Alligator mississippiensis: one gene and its partner. The protein of the gene in region 2 purifies or fractionates together with the protein of the main gene of each other region. This does not show direct contact. Links are inferred from orthologs where the notes say so. Each region holds a gene or a part of one and is shown on either strand. Other genes may lie near its edges.

Evidence for each region. Proteins that work in one complex are often made in the same cells at the same time.
Region 1: the proteins of SOX2 (region 2) and KHDRBS1 purify together in Homo sapiens (affinity purification with mass spectrometry; 3 studies listed by BioGRID and IntAct, with this or other methods). This does not show direct contact. The link is inferred for Alligator mississippiensis from reciprocal best matches to the Homo sapiens genes SOX2 and KHDRBS1.

Annotation. Positions count from the first base shown.
Region 1 is NC_081829.1:5,791,052-5,800,323, reverse strand, and holds the start of KHDRBS1 (KH domain-containing, RNA-binding, signal transduction-associated protein 1), read left to right. Parts: upstream 1-5,352; 5' UTR 5,353-5,455; coding exon 5,456-5,786; intron 5,787-9,272. UniProt on the Homo sapiens protein: Recruited and tyrosine phosphorylated by several receptor systems, for example the T-cell, leptin and insulin receptors. Once phosphorylated, functions as an adapter protein in signal transduction cascades by binding to SH2 and SH3 domain-containing proteins.
Region 2 is NC_081830.1:81,638,498-81,647,741, forward strand, and holds SOX2 (transcription factor SOX-2), read left to right. Parts: upstream 1-4,938; 5' UTR 4,939-5,432; coding exon 5,433-6,380; 3' UTR 6,381-7,411; downstream 7,412-9,244. UniProt on the Homo sapiens protein: Transcription factor that forms a trimeric complex with OCT4 on DNA and controls the expression of a number of genes involved in embryonic development such as YES1, FGF4, UTF1 and ZFP206. Binds to the proximal enhancer region of NANOG.

The DNA of each region.
Region 1 (9,272 bases), on a different chromosome or scaffold from region 2:
TCCCGTCCCCTCCCAGAATCCCCACCACTCCTGGCTTGACCCAGCGAAGTGGGCGGCTACATTAAAACTGCCAAGGAGAAGGCTGGAACAAGAGCTCTTCTGTTCTCCAAGCCAGCATGAAAACCCCCCTCCGGGCCTCTTCGCTGGGCGCAGCCTGGCAGCTCTGCGCTCCGCAGCGCACAGTGTCTAGCTCTGAAACCAAACAAAGGCAGCTTCTTGGAAAGCCGGCTGATTAACGATCCCATCATCCCAATCTCAGGGGATAATTGCAATAATGCAGAAGCCGGCCCATCCACTCCAGCTGCTTTCTGCTTCCTTATTCGACCCACGTAGGAAGGGGCAGAGGGAGCGGGGAAGGCCACGCGCTCAATCCTGAAACCAACCTGCTTCCCGTTTCCACCCAGAGGAAAAGCCTCTCCACGTGGCAGCTTTGCCCTGGAGGTTGCCTAGCACTGCCTGGCTGAACGCCACAGTCATGGAAACAACCGATTCTTAATTATTATGGCTTTGCATTTCAGTAACACCCAGATGCTCCATCCAAGGTCAGGGCTCTTTTTTCTGCTGTACGAATGCATAAGAGACTTGTAGCTTCACAGAGCTTGCAATCTCAACAGATCTGACAGATAAAGGCAGACAGAAAGGTGGGAGTATTATCCCCATTTTCTAGCTGGGAAGCTGAGACAACGAAGCAGCTTGGTTCGCCCGGGGAGTCTGTGGCAGACAGCCCAGATTTCCCAGTGCCAGCAAAGTCTTTGACAAGTGACCTTCCTTCCCTTAAAACTGAAACTATTTTTTTTGTCATTCCTGAGTGGGTTAAAAGCAAGTGACTAATACCAGCTGTCAGCTGCGATAGCCACATTGACGCAGCCTCAGCACAATGGTGCCAGCTGCAGTACTGCTACCCAGCGGTGTACCCAACACTGGGCCCTGCCCCACTGCCAGCTGCACGGCCTGTCCGTGGAACGTGCCTCCAGGTTTGGGGATGTACCTGCAGGGACACCCATTGCTCCTCTCCTGCAGTTCAAGCACACAAAATACCGATCTCATGGAAGAGACGGACAGTGCCAGCCAGAGGGGCAGTAGGACCAAGAAAATGAAGAAAGGGCCGTGAAAGCCATGAGATATGTGGATATGACTGCGTCCATGAGAATCTAAAGCAGCGGTTCTCAACCTTTTTAGACCCCAGGCACCCCTCGTTAAGACTGGAGGCCCCCCTTGGAAAGTGCCAGTTCTTAATTTTCACTCATTTGTTTGACTCCAGCTCTCCTGTTGCAAAGAACTCGGAAATACCACAACAGGGACACAATGTTTTTAACACTATGGATGCCTATTTGAAATCTCAGGATTTATCCTGTGAATCATGTTTGCACCCATAACTGTGCTAACAGTGTGTGGCACCCTGAGGCACCGCTGAAAGGATTTCAGGGCAACCCAGGGTGCCGCAACACCCTGGTCGAGCATCCCTGATCTAAAGTTACTTTTTGTTGCATCAGTCCATGGCAATGAAGGCCTAGCTTTATTTTATAATTTTGCCAGCTTGGCAGCACTCCTTCCACATTTGTGGTTGGAGTCATTTTTTTTTCCAGACTGTCTTGGACAAATATAACAAAAGCAATAGGAAGGGAGAGAGAAAAGGAGAAGGAAACAAGCAGGGTGGGAAAGCTAATAGGAAACCAGGCTATTTGTATGAGAGGTGGTGGGTTGGGGAAGAGATGCACTCGTGACCTCAGAACCCCATTCAGCCCCAGCAGATGAGCTGAGCTCATTGTATCTCTGCTGCAGATCTCCAGGAGCAGTTCCCAAAAAAACTGGGTCTGACAGGATGTCTTTGAAAAATACTCCACTAGGACCAGGCCCAGAGAAAACGTCTAACTTAGGTCTTGTTTTGCTTCTGCAGTTTTGCTCAGATGCTGGGGACCAGGAGCGGTATCAAACCTGGAGATGTTTGCACCTCAAGGATTGGGAAGAGCTCCTGGCCAGGGTGCTTTGTAAAGACAAGATTTGACAGAGGGAAGAGGGGCTGATTCACAGGTGAGTTCAGGCACCTCGTAGCTGCAGCGAGTGGGGAGGATGTGTGCAGGAGCAGGTTGTGATCATCCCAGTCAGGGTGTGAGTTAGTAATAGGTCCTCAGGAAGCTCTTGATGTGTTGCCTTCCCCAATACAAGAAATAAGGGCAGGTAAGGAATTGCTCTGCACGTAAGTTCTCCACTGCCTAACTTGGGACAGTTTCAGTCCACTTTCTAGCATGTAGCTAGGTGGAGAATCTGGCCCAGAGGGAGGAGCACAGAAAGATGGAGAGCGACTCAGAGAAATGAAGACAACTGAGTGCAGGCAGCAAGGCTCAGGCTTCTGCTGTCTGAGCCCCAGAGGTTTCAGAAGATGTAATAGAAGCAGGCACAGAAGCTGTGCAGAAAGGAAAACCAGCAATGCTGACCGTGGAGAGGGGAGGCTGGATGCACTGGGACAGTTTCTAATCCTCTCTTGTGGTATTGAAATAGAAGGTAGAAATCCTGGGGCAACGATGACCCTTTAGCAGGAGCTGGGATGGCACGGTGGGTCCTAAACAGCCCGTGTGGTGCAAGCTAGTTCTAGGTCTTTGGGAACCTTATGCCAGTTCAAGATCACCTGTGACAGACCTCTGCTGCGTTGTGCCCCATGTGTACACCCCATATGTGCAGGTGTGACTGGGCAGCTGGGGTGGCTAGGCAGCACGAGACAGGTGAGAAATGCAATCAGGGAAAGGCAGGCAGGGAGAAAGGGTTAATTAATAGGGAGCTGGGTGAAGTGCGTGAGAAAAACAATCTCATGGATGCGAGACTGAAGACAAGGGAGAGAGCAACTGAATCCAGGAGAGTGAGAGCAGAAAAGAGCAAAGGGCAGCAAAAGAAAGCCAGGCAGTGCTAGGCATCCAAAACTATGCCATGCTCCTAGCTATAAGAAGCTGCCCTGCTGCATTGAGGTTGTGTGAGTAATAGTAGCTTAGGTGCATGGATGGGACTGTACATTTACTTGTATTGTACAAACATTAACTACTGAGTGAAGGGTTTGTCCAAACAGCACATTCAGTAAAGATCCATGCGCACATTGCTGATTGTAGCCAAGTGAGAGAAGTACAGAGATCTGGGATCTGTCACCTGCTGGCATCAAAGTTTCTCCTTCATGGGCTCTTTCCCCAGCTTCTTCTATTCCAGGGGTGCTCAACCCCTAGCCTGCGAGCTAAATCCAGCCCATAGAGCTGTGACGTCCTGCCCACGGGGATCTCTGCAGGGTGGAAAAAACTGGCAGCTGGGGAGCGAGGAAGCTCCATGCAGTGGGATCCAGCCTTGCCCAGGCCATTGCCGCACAGCAGGATCAGGGACAGGCCTGCCCCTTGTCTATCCGGATCTGGCTGGGCGGCTCCCTGCCCCCTCCATGCGTCCAGGCAGAGGCCACTCCACCCCATCGGCATCCGGATCATGGCTGGGCTGCTCTCCACTTCCACCCCCGATGTGTCTGGATCAGAACCAAGTTGCTCTCCACCCACCCCTCACCACATCCTGATCGGGACAGCTCCATTCAGCGCCCCCACACACATCCAGATGGGGACCAAGCTGCTCCCCAACCCCCTGTGGATGGATCTGGGTCAGGCTGCACAGTCCCCTGGGCTAAATGGAGTTGCTCCAGCAACCCCACGTTCTGGCTGGGTCGAGCCCACCAGCCTGATCCAGCCTGCGGCCAGATATGGCACTGCCCATCTAGTCTGTGGGGTGAAAAGATTGGGCACCACTCATCTACTCCATGCGTTAGAGACCTGGTTGAAATATAGTTCAGTCCCAGCTACACCAACAAGACTCCTACCATGAAGTCAGTCCTGCTATCAACAGAAGTCATATTGCATACAGGCAGAGTCTGAACCCAAAAGACAAGTGCAGGCTCTGGGTCGGGGGGGGGTTGTCAATTAAGACATTCGGAGATCAAGAAACTTGCCTTCCTCAAATGAGCTTTCTATATGCTGCCATCACAGACTGATGGAAATAAAAATGCAGAAGACTCAGCCTCCCTGCTTTAGGACATAAACGGATCTATGCGTATACTATTTGTATACACTCTGGGACAATGAGATGAATCTGTCACTTACAGCAGCGGTTCCCAATCTGGTACGGGTACCACCACCGGTACGCAGAGAACCTGTCAGCGGCACGTGTTACCCATGGGCAACTGGTGCCGCCTGATTCAGGGGGACACATGCGAGCGCGGCCTGTCAGGGGGCGCACCCCATATGCATCGCGACTAGTATTAACAGATGTATTATCATTACTTTATATGACAAAAATTTGCTGGTGGCACTTAAGGTTGCGTTGTTTTAAAATGATGGTGCGCTGTCAGAGCTTGGGAACTGCCGACTTATAGGATAATTACTGCTGATGTTGGCTTGGCAGCCGAGGGCCATGCCCTCGCCGGTGGTTGAAGGAACGTGTCCGCTAATGACCACGCAGGGGCCTTCCAAGTGGAGGTCGGTCCTGCAGAGCACCCTTTGGGGGGCTTTCTGGGTGTCATCAAGATTTGCACCAAGGGATCCCCATGCTAACCCAGCCCCCCAGGGCTCCTGCGCAGTGCACACACGGGGTGGGGGCGGATTTAGAACCAGTGCACCCAGGTGCTTCGTGTCGCAGTATCAGCCATAGGAGGCTTGCGTGTCAAATGTGCTGCAGGCTATCTGGCAGGGTCCGGATGGGCTCCCAGGCAAGCAAGGCCAGCCTGCTAGTGCTCAGGGAGGGGAGCATGAGGCCAGGGCTGGGCTGCTTTGCTCCAAAGATCCCAAGGTCTAACCCTTACCCCCGGCCCCAACTCAGGGCTCCATCTCTCCCGCCACACCATGCTGGCCAGGCCCAAGCCAGGGAAGGACCCGCGCATGCGCAGAGCGGCAGCCAGGCCATGCCCTGGGCAGGCAGAAGACGCACACGTGCGTCGAACTCCTGCAAGGGACGGGGGGCGGGGAAGAGGGAGGAACTGTAACGCGCATGCGTTGCGATCGCTCCCGGACGCTTTGTTCGCCCCAAGGCTGCGATTGCGCGTGCGCAATGCAGCCCCTCCCCGCGTGCTAGGCTTCTACGCATGCGCACTGGGCCCCCTCGGTACTTTGTTCTCGGCGGAACGAGGCAGGGCCGCTGCGCCTCTGCGCAGGCGCAATGGAAGGGGGCGCTCCTTTCTTTTTTGTTTCCTCCCGCTCGTTGCGCATGCGCACTCGGAGGCCCTGCGCAGCGCGTCTCAGCCGGCGCTTTGTTCTCGGCAGGCGGCCGGCGCCGCGCAGGCGCGGCGGGAGGGCGGCGCAGGCGCAGTGCGTCCGGAGCGGCGACGGCGGCGGAGCGGGAGCGAGCGGCGAGCGCTTCCGGCCCCTCACTTCCGGTCCCGGCCGCCGCGGCCCTCGGTGTGGCAACGCTGTCCGCCCCGCGCCGCCCGCCGCGCTCCGCGCCCATGCAGCGCCGCGACGACCCCGCCGCCCGCCTGGGCCGGCCCCCGGGCCCCGGCGCCCGGCCGCAGGCAGCGCAGCCCCCGCGCCGGCCGCCCCGCGGCGGGGCCCGCGGCGCCGCCGCCGCCCACCCGCCGGGCTCGCAGCCGCCGCCGCTGCTGCCGCCCGCCGCCACCGCCGGCGCCTCGCAGGCGCCCGCCGCCGCGCCCACCCCGCTGCTGCCCGGCGCCGCCGCCGTCAAGATGGAGCCCGAGAACAAGTACCTGCCCGAGCTCATGGCCGAGAAGGACAGCCTCGACCCGTCCTTCACGCACGCCATGCAGCTCCTCACGGCAGGTACGGCCGCGGCGGGGGGGAGGGGCGGCCCTGCTCCCGTCCCCGTCCCGTCGGTCGGCTGCCATGGCAACAGCGCGGGGGGAGGGGGTGGCAGCCCCCCCGCCGTGTATGAAAACCCAACAGCATTAGGAACCCCCCTCCCCAACCCTACAGTGGGTGGGTGGGTGAAAGGCAGGCGGAGAAGTTTCTCGGGGCACGGCCCCCTCCCAAAACCGACCCGCGGCGAGACGGGGAACGGCTGCCTTTGTTCTGCGCGGTTGCGGCTGCGCGCCCGCTCGGCTGCCCCAGGGCAAGCCCCTGGGGGGGGGTGGTAAGCAGCCGGCGGAAAAGGATTTTGCTTTACATCTATTAATGAAAACGGCGCGCGCTCCTTGCGAGCTGCCCGATGACGCCCCGGGTCCTTTCAGGCGATGATGCCGGCGCTGGGGCGGGGATGGGTGTGTGACATCGCCTGCCCGCCGACTCCAGGGGAGTTGCTGCAGCGTATCCGGCATCGCCGGCGTACGTCTGATTCCCGTATCGAATAATTTTATAACCTTGTTTTGATCCCGACTTAACTGCTTTTGCTCCCCGCCGTCTTCAGCCGCCTGATGTGCAGCCGCGCTCTGCTTGCTCCGTGCGGCGAAGGAGATGTTAGGAAGCTCCTATTCTTCCAGGCAGGTCGGTGTCCTTGGCCCGCTCGGCAAAGATCCGGGTACCGAGCGCCGCGCCGAGGTTTTGTATCGGACGTTTCCTTAGTCCGAACAACCTGGCTTGTGAATTATATCGGAGCGCTTGCCTCTGCAGTTGATCATCGCTTATAATTTAAGAATCCTTTTTTATTTTTCCTGTGCTGCAAAATCAGTTTGCTTATTTGGATTGCCTTGTAATGTGTTGTCTCGTGTGGCGTTTAGGATGGCGTTAGTCAAATTTCGAGGTCAGATGAGCAAAGGATTCTTGATGCAGCCGTTAAAAAATGAATTTTACAAAATGAATTTATAATTCTTCTTGTGGCCTCCTTCTCCCCTGCCCCCACTGATTTTTGGTCACTCGGCATATCCTGCTTCATCAAAGGGTGCTGTATAACATCGGTGTTGAAAAAGTCGTTAACCTTAATTTGGAATTTCAGGTTGGGGCTAAAGAGACTGAAAAATGTAAATGCGGCCAAAGCAGGTTTCTGAGGCAAAAGGGTTTTTCAAGCAGACTCTTAAAATAGCTGTGGTTACTGAACTTGAGCTGTATCTGTGCACTCTAAATTGGAGCCTTACAGCTGGCGGTTTTCAGACAATGCATGTTGCGCATGTTCCTGCCTCTGCTTGCATTTCCCAGGAGTTCCCCTTGGAAGTTTTGTCTTGAAATGAGAACTGTTGGCTCAAGAGCAATATTCTGCAGTACTCTAAAATGCACGTGCAAACTCCAGCTTTACTTTAAAAATACGATCAAGGAAATCAGCATTGATTTAAAGGACAGATGAAAGGGCTATAATGTAGTTGGTTTCCTGATCAATGGACAAGAGAGAGCTGTTTTCTAGGTCACTTGAACATGGGGATCCTGATGCACAGCTTCATCATGAGAGCTGTGTGTGTTTGAGCCCTTTTTCTGACTTTATGATCCAGGATTATGGGTTATCAGAGCAGTGAGTATGACGAAGGGATCACTAGAGCAGTGTCATAGCAGTTTAGGGATGTCTGAGCAACTGGAAACAATGCAAAGCGTTAAAACAATGAGGAATATAGAAGGCAATAAAAAGTTAACTGAAGAGGGGGGTGGAAAGGAGGAGGGGTCACAGCTTTGCAGGGGCAGGTGTTAAGGAGTAACGTCTCTGTTGATGCCCTTAAAAAAGTCCCCACTAATACTGTCCTAGTCCCTGCACTGTTCTGTATCCTCTTCCCAGTTCCTCAGCCTGTAGGTGGGTCCCATGCTGATGGCTGTTGTTCTGTGTGAAGGAGACTGGTTTTGACATTAGGAGAAATAAAGGGAACATGGTTTAGGAGCAGTAAACAGGATGTCTCAAGCCAGCTTTCCCTATCTGCCACCTCCAGCTCTGTGGCAGTAGTTACCCCATAATTGGATGGAATAACTACTGTCAAGGACCAGACGGGGAGTAGGTCAGTTGGAATGAAGTGCATGGGAGTGATGAAAAGTTCATAGTGAAAGGGATGGCCCAAAACCTTTGTTAATGTAGAGGTAAGTTTGCCTGGTACTGCCTCTTGCCCTTCCAGAACGTGGGTAGTAGTGGCTAAATGTAAAACTTGGAGAACCAGGAAGGAAAGGACTTAAGGTACACCCCCCCCAAAAAAACAAAAACACAGCTTAACTCTCCTGTAAAACATCAATACCGTGTCCATGCTTTACTCTCATAGATGGTAGTGAGCACATGAGCACTAATGATGCAAATTCAGCATGTGTTCTTTAAGACAAATCTTGGGTTTGGGTCAGGTGTAATGAATGGGAGCAGCCTAGGCTCCATTGCAGATGTGGCTGTTGCCCATCACTAAGCCCTGGAGACTGTAGAAACATATGTCTCTGTGCAGCTGACAGTCCCCATGGCAAGAAGGCATCCTTGTGTACTTCTGCAGAAATAGCCTGCCACATTCAGGACTGAAATGAGGCATGCTTGATCCCTCAAGGTAGGCATGTGCTGTTCCTTACAACTTTGGTCCAGGCTGTACTGCTCCACTTCACACAGTGAACGCAGCTGGGGTGTGTGCAGATAAATGCTGGGATTCAGCTCTGTAGAACACAGCACACTGGCACATTCTTAATCTTTCTGCTAATTGCTATTCATATATTCTGAGATTTTTAAAGCAGAAGGGGATCATGAGGTCATCTCATCTGACCTTCTAGATAACACAGGTCAGAACATTTCTCCCAGTTACTCTCCTGCTTCACCTAATAATCTGGTTCTTTTCCTAAAGCATTTCTTTGAACATTGTTCAGTCTTAACATGAACATAGAAATTACCACTTCCATCATTAGATGAATGCTTTGCACCATCTTTACTAAAGCACCCCAGAGGCTCTTGCCAGCTTAGCCGGAGGCAGAGTAGAGATGTTATTAGGGTGGCATGTATCTTAATTCATTTCCTGACTTTAAAGGGTTTAAGTTTAGCCCTGTTCTGTAAGGGTATGAACCACCTCTGGGTATCTTTAACTCTTATTGTTATCCTTTGGCCATTGATATGTGTATGACCATATTATTTAAGAACAGACTTGCCAAATGAGCTAAGAATGTCTTGTTAAATATCTGCAGCTTTTGCAGAAATAAAATGCTTGAGTAGGAGTCCCACTGCCTCCAGTAGAATCTCAATAGTTCCCCCTCTGTGTAACGTTCCTAAAGTAGAACTGTTTGTCATTTAATCCTGCAAATGAGACCGAGCTGCTTTTCGTGCCATCAGTGTAGTCCTTAGATGACTGAATTGCATAAGAAAATAAGCTATAATCAACTTCAAAAGCTACAAGTCTGGAAAGAACTAATATTTTTCCATAGTGTAAAAAAAAGAAAATC
Region 2 (9,244 bases):
CCCTGGACCCAGGCGGAGGATCGCTTCGCTCGGGGAAGCCCCAGCCCCGGTTGCAAGGGCCCTCGGAGGGGCGAGGGCCGGGGGTATAACTCGGGTAGAGAGCAGGGGGCTGGCCGGGAGGTGTCGGACGGCTCCTGACTCTGACAGGTGTTTTAGTGCCACTGAGGTTGCGCTAAAAGGTTGAATTTTCTCGAGGCTGCGGAGCTGCTTTGGGTTGTTTTCCCAGGGCCCGGCGGGAGCGGAAAGCCGAGGCATGAGATATACTGGGGGGGGGGACCCATGCTCGGTGACAGGGTCTTGTGCTCCGCGTTGAACGCGAGGTCCCTGCTGCCCCAGGCTCGCCGAGCTCCGCGGCCCCCTCCCGTCTGCAGGGCCAGCCCGGCGGCAGGGGCCGTGGGAGTGGGGGGCGCGCGGGTGGAGGCGTCGCCCGGCCCCCGCGCGGCCTGGCACCGGGGGTCGCCCATCGCCACTGCCCCCCACACCCCCACCCCTCCCTCGGCCGCACGTGCGCTCCGTGTGTCCTGCTCCGTTAGAGAGAAGTGGGCTGGAGCGGAGCCTGCTGTGCGCTCCGCGCCGTCGAGGGGCCGCAGAGCCCTGCAAGGGGGATCCGGAGAGAGACGGGGGTGGTTGAAGCGGGGCTGCCCGGGCCCGCCTGGATGCGGGATGCCACTGCTGGCTGCCGGCAGGACAGACTGGAGCAAAGCCCCGGTTAAACCGTTTTAAATTACCAAGGAAAGAAATGAGATAGGTACATACACATATTACACTCCCCCCCATCTATCTATCTATCTATCTATCTATCTATCTATCTATCTATCTATCTATCTATCTATCTATCTATCTATCGATACATAGATATCTACACACATATCTATCTAGCTATCTATCTAGCATAGATAGATAGATAGATAGATAGATAGATCTACACACACACTCTCTCCATATATATGGAAGCAGCGTGGGCTACGCGTGGTCCCGGCGCCCGGCTCGCCCCCCAGATTGCCTCCCCCCCACCCAAGAGACAAGCGTGCAGAGATTAGCACGCTTCGAGGAGAAGGGGGCTGGTGCCTCTCTCGGGATTATAGATCCCGTCTCAGCCAAACCTGGCACGTTATTTGGGTTGATTGTCATTGCTCGGTGATCTCTCCCCAAGGCTGGGGGAGTTTCCCCCTCTCTGAAAAAATGCAGAAAGCTGAATCTCACATTTTAAAGCCTTGTTAGTGGGGGTCGGGGCGAACTGCCTGCCAAAAAGAAGGAATGGACTGGTTACTGATTTGACTCGTGAAATATCAGCCTGGAAAGACTTTTAGGACCTGGCAGTACTTAAAAAAAAAAAACCCAAAAACCACCAACCCCCCCCCCCCAAACGCCAGAGCTCAGCTCATCTGTGTAATACCCCCAGGACATGACCCCCCTTCCTTCATACCTATTAATGGTTGTAAATGAACAAAGCCTTTTACCAGAACAACACCAGTGTTGGCCTAAAACCTTCCTTGGGGTGTTTCTTGGGGGAGATCTTCCTCGGGAACTATATTGGGGCGGGGGGAGCAATTTTCCTCCAGGGTTTGCTGCTTGTACTGCAATAACGCGCCTTGTGCCATTAGGGGTTCACCAGGGAGTGGGTTACAGTGAGTCTGGCAAAACTTCCCTGGGCTAACTTTAGCCTCTGTGCAGTTAGCTGGTTCCAGAATTAGAAAGGGGGGGGGGGGGGGAAATCTCTCTGTACATTTTCGTCTTCAGATTTTTTTTTAACGTAATGAAATTAAAACTTTTGGAGCTCACAGTTGACGTTTTGCAGAAAATTGAGTTATCAAGGCAGTAATTATTTCACAGGGAGATAAAACTCTCATAGCCCTAACTGTCAAATAGGGCCCTTTTCAGATTTTAATTACAAAATAAAATTAGTCTGCTCTTCCTCGGAAGGGTTTGTGAGTGGCTAAACAGAGCTTTCCCCAATACTGGTGGTCGTCAAACTCTGCTAATTAGCAATGCTGAGAAATTCCAGTTAACAAGGACATTCTGTAAGTCTCTGCAGGTTCCCCGCCGCTCGCCTTCATTTCCATAAGAAGATTAAGAGTGGAGGGGAACACACTCAAATGCAGATGCAGAAAAGAAGCGTTTTTAACAAGCATCATAATAGTAAGATGCTTGGCTAGTTCTCACCTAATTACTGCAAGTTAAACCTCTATTTGCAGCTAAGGACAAAAAAAAAAAAAAATCGAGGCTGCAATCTTCCATCTCCACCAGGCTGCTTAATAGTTTGCTTTAGATTTGTTACTAGCAAGGTCAGTGCGAAAAAATTATGTAGATATCCCTGATGTTATAGTCCCCGATAGGCTGCATCTTCAGGGCTTTTAGAAGAAATTGGTGGGTGCAGCCCGGGTCCGCACAAGAAATAAATAAAAATCCAAGTCGTTAACATCCATTTTCTCGTTAATAAGCTCATCACCCCCGAATAAGCGCGAACCCGCCTCGGACTCCCGCGCTGAGCGCGTTTGCGGACTATTTGTTTAATGTGAGCACTTTTCATTTCCATAAATTATACCAAAGGCAACGATTTTTAAAATCCATTCAGATTAAACCATGCCTCTCTAGGCCTCCCTTTTAAAAATCTCGATCTTCTTCAATAGACCGTTGTCGTTATTGTTACTAATACTGAAGCTGGAGGAAGGCTCTCATTGTTTTTTTACATTATTTAAACGAGTAGCCAGGAACCCGGTTTATGGAGCCAGAAACGTGCACGTAGGAAACGGAGAAGAACAAATTGTGAAAGAGCTATCACCTTTATCTTATTTTTCTATAGCGCATTATTATGTATATATGCCAGAGGCAGTTTATTGCATTGATAAGTAAAACACGGTTAATTAAAATAAAGCTGTAAATACTCATGATAACACAATTGTTAGGTATTTCCATCGCTTATTTATATGATAAATGCAATTAACAAAGAGCCAAGCCAGCCACTTTAACCTCTTCAATGTGTTATTAGAGAGTTCAGGCACAAATATATGCATCTAGTTACGTGTAAAATCTTGCCTTGCCTTTGCTGCAGCCAAGGCTCACACACAGACACACACACACTCCCAACTGATTCTGCCTCTGTAACTACAGTAGAGAACAAAAATAAGACTTGCTTGTCTAACACCAACCATCAGTTATCAATTTATTACGATAAACAAACACCACCACCCCCTTCCCCCCTCCCCCAATTTAATTATCCATAAGGTTTTTTGTGTGTGTGTTTTTTGGAATAATGTTATCAAGTGCAGCCCCAGGCGTAAACAATACCAAAGTAAATAGTTGCGTGCCCTCAGTAGCGTCTGGACAATCAGAATTCGTTTCTAGCTTGAATCTCATAATTTGTACCTATTTTCCTCTGCTTTAACCTATCACTTATCTACGGGCTATATGTACATTTTCGAATTAAACGCATTAAATCTGATAGGATTTATTTACATAATCCATAAAAAGATGCATCCGTGCTGTTGGGGTTTGTTTTTTTTTTATTACTTAGATTACATATAATTATTTCCACCCCCCCCTTTCCTTTTATTATTTTTAAACATTTCATTTGAAAAGTGAGAGCGAGCCTTGCCTGGGAGCCGAGTCTGCCAGTAGGGGGCGCACCAGCCCCATCCCTGAAGCCCCCGCGCTCGGAAAGTCCAGGGCAGCCTCCAAGTTATTTCTCACCTCCCTTTGTGTGTGTGTGTGTGTGTGTGTGTGTGTGTGTGTGTGTTTCTAAATCGTTCTTTCGGCACTGGATTTAATCTGATGCAGACCTGAAATCCAGCAGATTGTACAGTCCGCGCACAGCACCAAATACAGTCAGTCTCGGGAGGTTTTCAGTCGCGCCAAACTTTCCTGGGGAGGCCGCGGGGCAGGCTCCGAGCCCGGGGCGCAGGGCGGAGCGCGCCCCGGTGCGGCGTGCCCGTCCAGACAGCTCGCCACGTTTTCAGCCCCAGGAAGAGGGGGGCGAAGGGAGCCCCTGCCCGTGGGAGCACTTCATAAAACAGAAATGGCGTGAGGCTTCCCCCCCCCCCTTTCTTTGTAGTCAAGTGCATTTTAGCAACAAAGATCCCAACAAGAGAGTGGAAGTAAACTTAGCCGGGCCTTTGTTTGGCCCCGTGTAGCGACAACAAGAGAAACAAAACTACCTATTTGTAACGGACGTGCTGCCATCTCTCCCCGCCATTGAGCTCCCACCTATTGAAGTCTTTACGTCGGGACAATGGGGCCGAGTCTAAAATTACCCTCCCGAGCCCAGGGCGGCTTCCCACTCCCGCGTCCTGCCCCTGCCGCGCGGCCCGCGGCCCGGGGAGCAGCACGCGGGGCGCGGGGCTGGGGCCAGGCGGGGGTCGCCGCAGCTGGGGGGCGGCCCCCTCCCCCGGGGCTGCAAGCAGACGCCCGGGGCATGGCGGGGGAGCTCGGCCCCTTCTTTCTGGGAGGCGCAGGGGGCTTCCAGGCTGTGAATGGAGCCGGGCTAGGGGGAGGGGAGGGCCTGCTCCCCTGCACCTGCCCTGCACAGGCCCCTCCGCGAGAGCCGGCGGTGGGGGGAGAGGCAATGGCAGGCAGGGGAGGCCCGCACCCAACACACGCAACTTTGCGGAGGCCTCGCGCTCCCCCGCGGCTTTCCCCCGCACCAAGTTGTGTGTGTGTGTGTGTGTGTGCGCGCGCGCGTGTTTTTAATGTAGCAACAATGCTGTTTACCCACTTCCTCCAAAAGGCGTGTGTGACCTGTTGCTGGAAGAGGCGCGACAAAGCCTCGCTAGTGGCTGCCTGGCTCGGCCGAGGGCCCGCCCCCCGTCCCCCCCCCCGGGCCGGCCCGGCGGCGCCCGCAGCCCCCGCCCCGTTTCATGCAAAACCAGGGGTAGAGGCTCGTCCTCAGTGGAGGAGCCGGCGCGCGCTGATTGGCCGGGCCCAGCGCATTTATTCCCTGACAAGCCCCCATCACATGGATGGTTGTCTATTAACTTGTTCAAAAAAGTATCAGGAGTTGTCAAGGCAGAGAGAGAGAAAGAGAGGGAGAGGGAGAGGGAGTGCGCGTGTTTGCAAAAGGGGGCAAAGGAGTTTGCTGGCTCTTTAAGACCGAGGTGGAGGGAAAGCGCTGGAGAGAGGCAGAGAAAAGGGGCAAAAAGGAGAAAGAAGAAGTTTGGGTTTTTGGTTTGGTTTTTTTTTTGTTTTGTTTTGGTTTTTTGGTTGTGGTTTTTTTTTTTTTTTTTTTTGCAAAGCCAGGCTGCAGCAGCCGCCACCGCCACCGGCCTGATCCCTCCGACAGGCAAGAGGAAGCCCCTGATCCTGATCCAAGCGCGGGGTGTTTCGGGGAGCCCCCTCCCCCCCTTGCACACCCCTCCCTAGCCGGAGAGAAAGTCCAGCTCGGGACGTTTGCTTCTCGCTTCTCCGCGGAAGCCTCGGGCCAGGCAGAAGCCGCTTGAATGTACAACATGATGGAAACCGAGCTCAAGCCGCCCGCCCCCCAGCCCGCCTCGGGAGGCGGCACGGGCAACTCCAACTCGGCCGCTCCCAACCAGAAGAACAGCCCGGACCGGGTCAAGCGCCCCATGAACGCCTTCATGGTCTGGTCCCGGGGCCAGCGGCGGAAAATGGCCCAGGAGAACCCCAAGATGCACAACTCGGAGATCAGCAAGCGGCTCGGGGCCGAGTGGAAACTTTTATCCGAGGCGGAGAAGAGACCCTTCATCGATGAAGCCAAGCGGCTCCGCGCTCTGCACATGAAGGAGCACCCGGATTATAAATACCGACCCCGGCGGAAAACCAAGACCCTGATGAAGAAGGATAAGTACACGTTGCCAGGGGGCTTGCTGGCGCCGGGCACCAATAGCATGACCACCGGGGTCGGGGTTGGGGCCACCTTGGGAGCTGGGGTGAACCAGAGGATGGACAGTTATGCTCACATGAACGGCTGGACCAACGGAGGGTATGGGATGATGCAAGATCAGCTCGGCTACCCCCAGCACCCGGGCTTGAACGCGCACAACGCGGCTCAGATGCAGCCCATGCACCGCTACGACGTGAGCGCCCTGCAGTACAACTCCATGACCAGCTCGCAGACCTATATGAACGGATCGCCCACCTACAGCATGTCTTACTCCCAGCAAGGGACCCCGGGCATGGCCCTGGGCTCCATGGGCTCTGTGGTCAAGACGGAATCCAGCTCCAGCCCCCCAGTAGTTACTTCCTCTTCCCATTCCAGGGCTCCTTGCCAAGCTGGGGACCTTCGGGACATGATCAGCATGTATCTACCAGGTGCTGAAGTACCAGAACCAGCTGCCCCAAGCAGACTTCATATGTCCCAACACTACCAGAGTGCACCTGTTCCTGGCACAGCCATTAATGGCACACTTCCTCTATCACATATGTAAGACAAAGGGGCAGGGGGGGAAGGAGAGCTGAACTCCAACCAACAAACAAAAAACTTTTATTAGAGATTCTGGACTTTTTTTTTTTTTTGGACTATTTTTGTACAGAGAAAACTGGGGAGGGCAGAAAAAACAAAACAAAACAAACAAACAAAAACTAACCCCGCCGAGGACCTTGTATAGATCTGAAGGGGAAGAAACTACACAAAACTTTTTAAAAGTTCTAGTGAAACGGTAGGAACTTTGCAGAAAGTTTGCAAAAGTCTTTACCAATAATATTTAGAGCTAGACTCAAAAAGCGACGAGGAAAAAAAATGTTTTAATATTTGCAGGCGACTTTTGTACAGTATTTATCAAAATAAACATGGCAATCAGAATGTCCATTGTTAATATGGGGGGGAAACACTTGAGAATTTGCCAATTATTTTTTAAAAACAAAGTAGAGTTTACTTGGAGCCGCGCAGCTGAATTATAGCAGCTGCCAAAGGAGTGGAGATTTATTTTACAGAATTTGGACATTTTAATTGTTTTAGAAATTGTACAAAAGGCAAAAAAATGTAGGATAAGTACTTGCAAACCAGTGAATTGGTTTTCTATAAAAGGGCAAACGTTTAGATTGTACTAAATTTTTTTTACTTGTTAAAAAGCAAAAATTGCCACTGCAGGTTCACATACCGTTTGTTAATTTATAATAGCCTTTTTGTTTCCAGAATTCATCCTGTTCAGAGAGAGAGAGAGAGACAGAGAAACCACACACACAAGCTGAAATGACTGTGTTTGAAATATTTTCTTATGGTTTGTAATATTTCTGTAAATTTATTGTGATGCTATTTTAAGTTCCTTTTTTTTTTCCTCTCATTTTCCGTAGTTGTATTTTAAAGATTCGGCTCTGTATTATTTGAAATCAGTCTGCCGACAGTCCATGTATATATTTGAACTAATACCATCCTTATAACAGGTACATATTCAACTTAAGTTTTTACTCCATTATGCACAGTTTGAGATAAATAAATTTTTGACATATGGACACTGAAGTTACGCCTGAGTCTTGCATTTCTTTTTTGTAATACGAGCTGTTTTGATTTTTTTTTTAAAGAAAAAATAATAATAATAATGCAGTTCAAGGTCTGACCGTAGTCAGCTGAGTGTGGTCAGTTCATGACAACACGGTGTAAGTAAGTACCGCGCGAAAAGCTCGGCTCTGGCGCTGGAGAAGAGCAGGGCTCGGAGTAGGTGGAAACTGCAGTCCTCCTTGCGGGCCTGAGAAGCGCGCGGTGTAAGTGCCAGCCCGGGAGACTTGTGCCGAGGCGAAGGGAGGTGTGTGGACTTGGTGCTGAGACCACTTGTTGCCGCTGGGCTGAGCTGGGACCTTGCACTTGGTGTCAAGTGAAACGGGCGCGCGTGGCAGGAGCGGAGCGAGTGCGAAGGCAACAAGTAAGCGGCGTGGCTCGCGGGCTGGCTGGGGGCACGCGGGCCGGGCCGCAGCGGAGCGTTGTGCCGTCGCGCCGGGCCGGGCGGGGCCGGGCCGGGGCCAGAGCATCCCCGCCGGCCGCGCGGAGGGTGCTGGCGGGGCGGAGGCGCCGGCGGGGCGTGCGGAGCTCTGCTTCCTTTGTCTGTGCCTTCCTCAACTTTCTCCCCCTTTATTTTTGTTTTTTTTCCAGCGCAGAAGAGGCGCGTGTGAGGTAGGGGGGAGGCCAGGTAAAAATCGCCGCTGCCCGACACTCCCCAGCTGTTTCTGGCTTACAAGGCCAGCGCGGTGTAGCCCAAACCCCGACAGTCCCGGCAGCGGCTCCAGGCCGAAAGAGAAGCGGTGGCGCCAGCCCCATAGCGGAGGAGCGCAGCCATCTCTCCGAGGTAGCCTTTTCCTTTGTACACTTCCGACCGCAGCTTGCAGCTGCCTGCTCCGTGCAACCAGCCGGGCCCCAGCAGCCTGCGGCCGGGGGCTGCAGGCCCGGCCTGGTGCACGGGGCAGGGGGCACCAAGCCGGAGGCAGCTCGACTCGCAGAGGGTTAAGGATGGCTCCTAACCCCGAGGGGAGGGGAGGGGACGAGGGGAGGGTGGCTTGCATCTCCACACTCCTGCCCCAGCTGAATGTAGAGCCGGGAAATTACCATCCTGCAGGAACGACCTTGTGCCTGGATGGCACTTCTGCGCGCCGGGCACGGCTTGCACTGGGAAAGGGCTGGTTTGAGATGCGGGGGGGAGCAGGTGCCTTTAAACATGTACCTAGAGGATTTTTGTGCCGGTTGCCACTGAAATCGCGGGCGAGCAGCCATGGCTTTTACAGGGTCGTGCTATTTCTCAGGTTCAGTTCCGGCCTCCCGGTCTTTCCCTCGTGGCCAACTGAGAAGTCAAATTTGCAGAGCAGGAGACGGGGGCTTTGGAGCACTGTCTGCTTCTGGATTTTATCTTGATTTGTCCTCCCCTTTACCTCTTTCCTTCCCCCCCCCCCCCCCCCGTGGTGTACTTGGAAAGCACAACTGCTATTCTAGATTACAAGCCAACCTCCTCCCCCCCCCCCTTTTTAATTAATGCAAAGACTAAAAGAATTTCGCAGAGTTGCAGCATTTGTAACGCATCTGGGGATTATTCACGTGGCAAGGAGCACATTTCCTCGCTCTCTGTGCCCGTTGCAATTCAGTTAAAAATCAAAACAGCCCAAACGTCGTGAACCTTAGCCAATTAACAGCCATAAAACACGGGCCCTTTTTGAAGTGCTAACCAAAAGAGTCGAGGGGGCGGCGGGGTGAGGTCGAAATATGGGTGCCTTGAAAATACCCAGAGAAGGAGTCGAGTTCGTGCAATGAAACAAAAGAGACTGAGCCCCGTGCTCTGCTCTGGGGAACTCAAAAACTTTTTTTCCCACC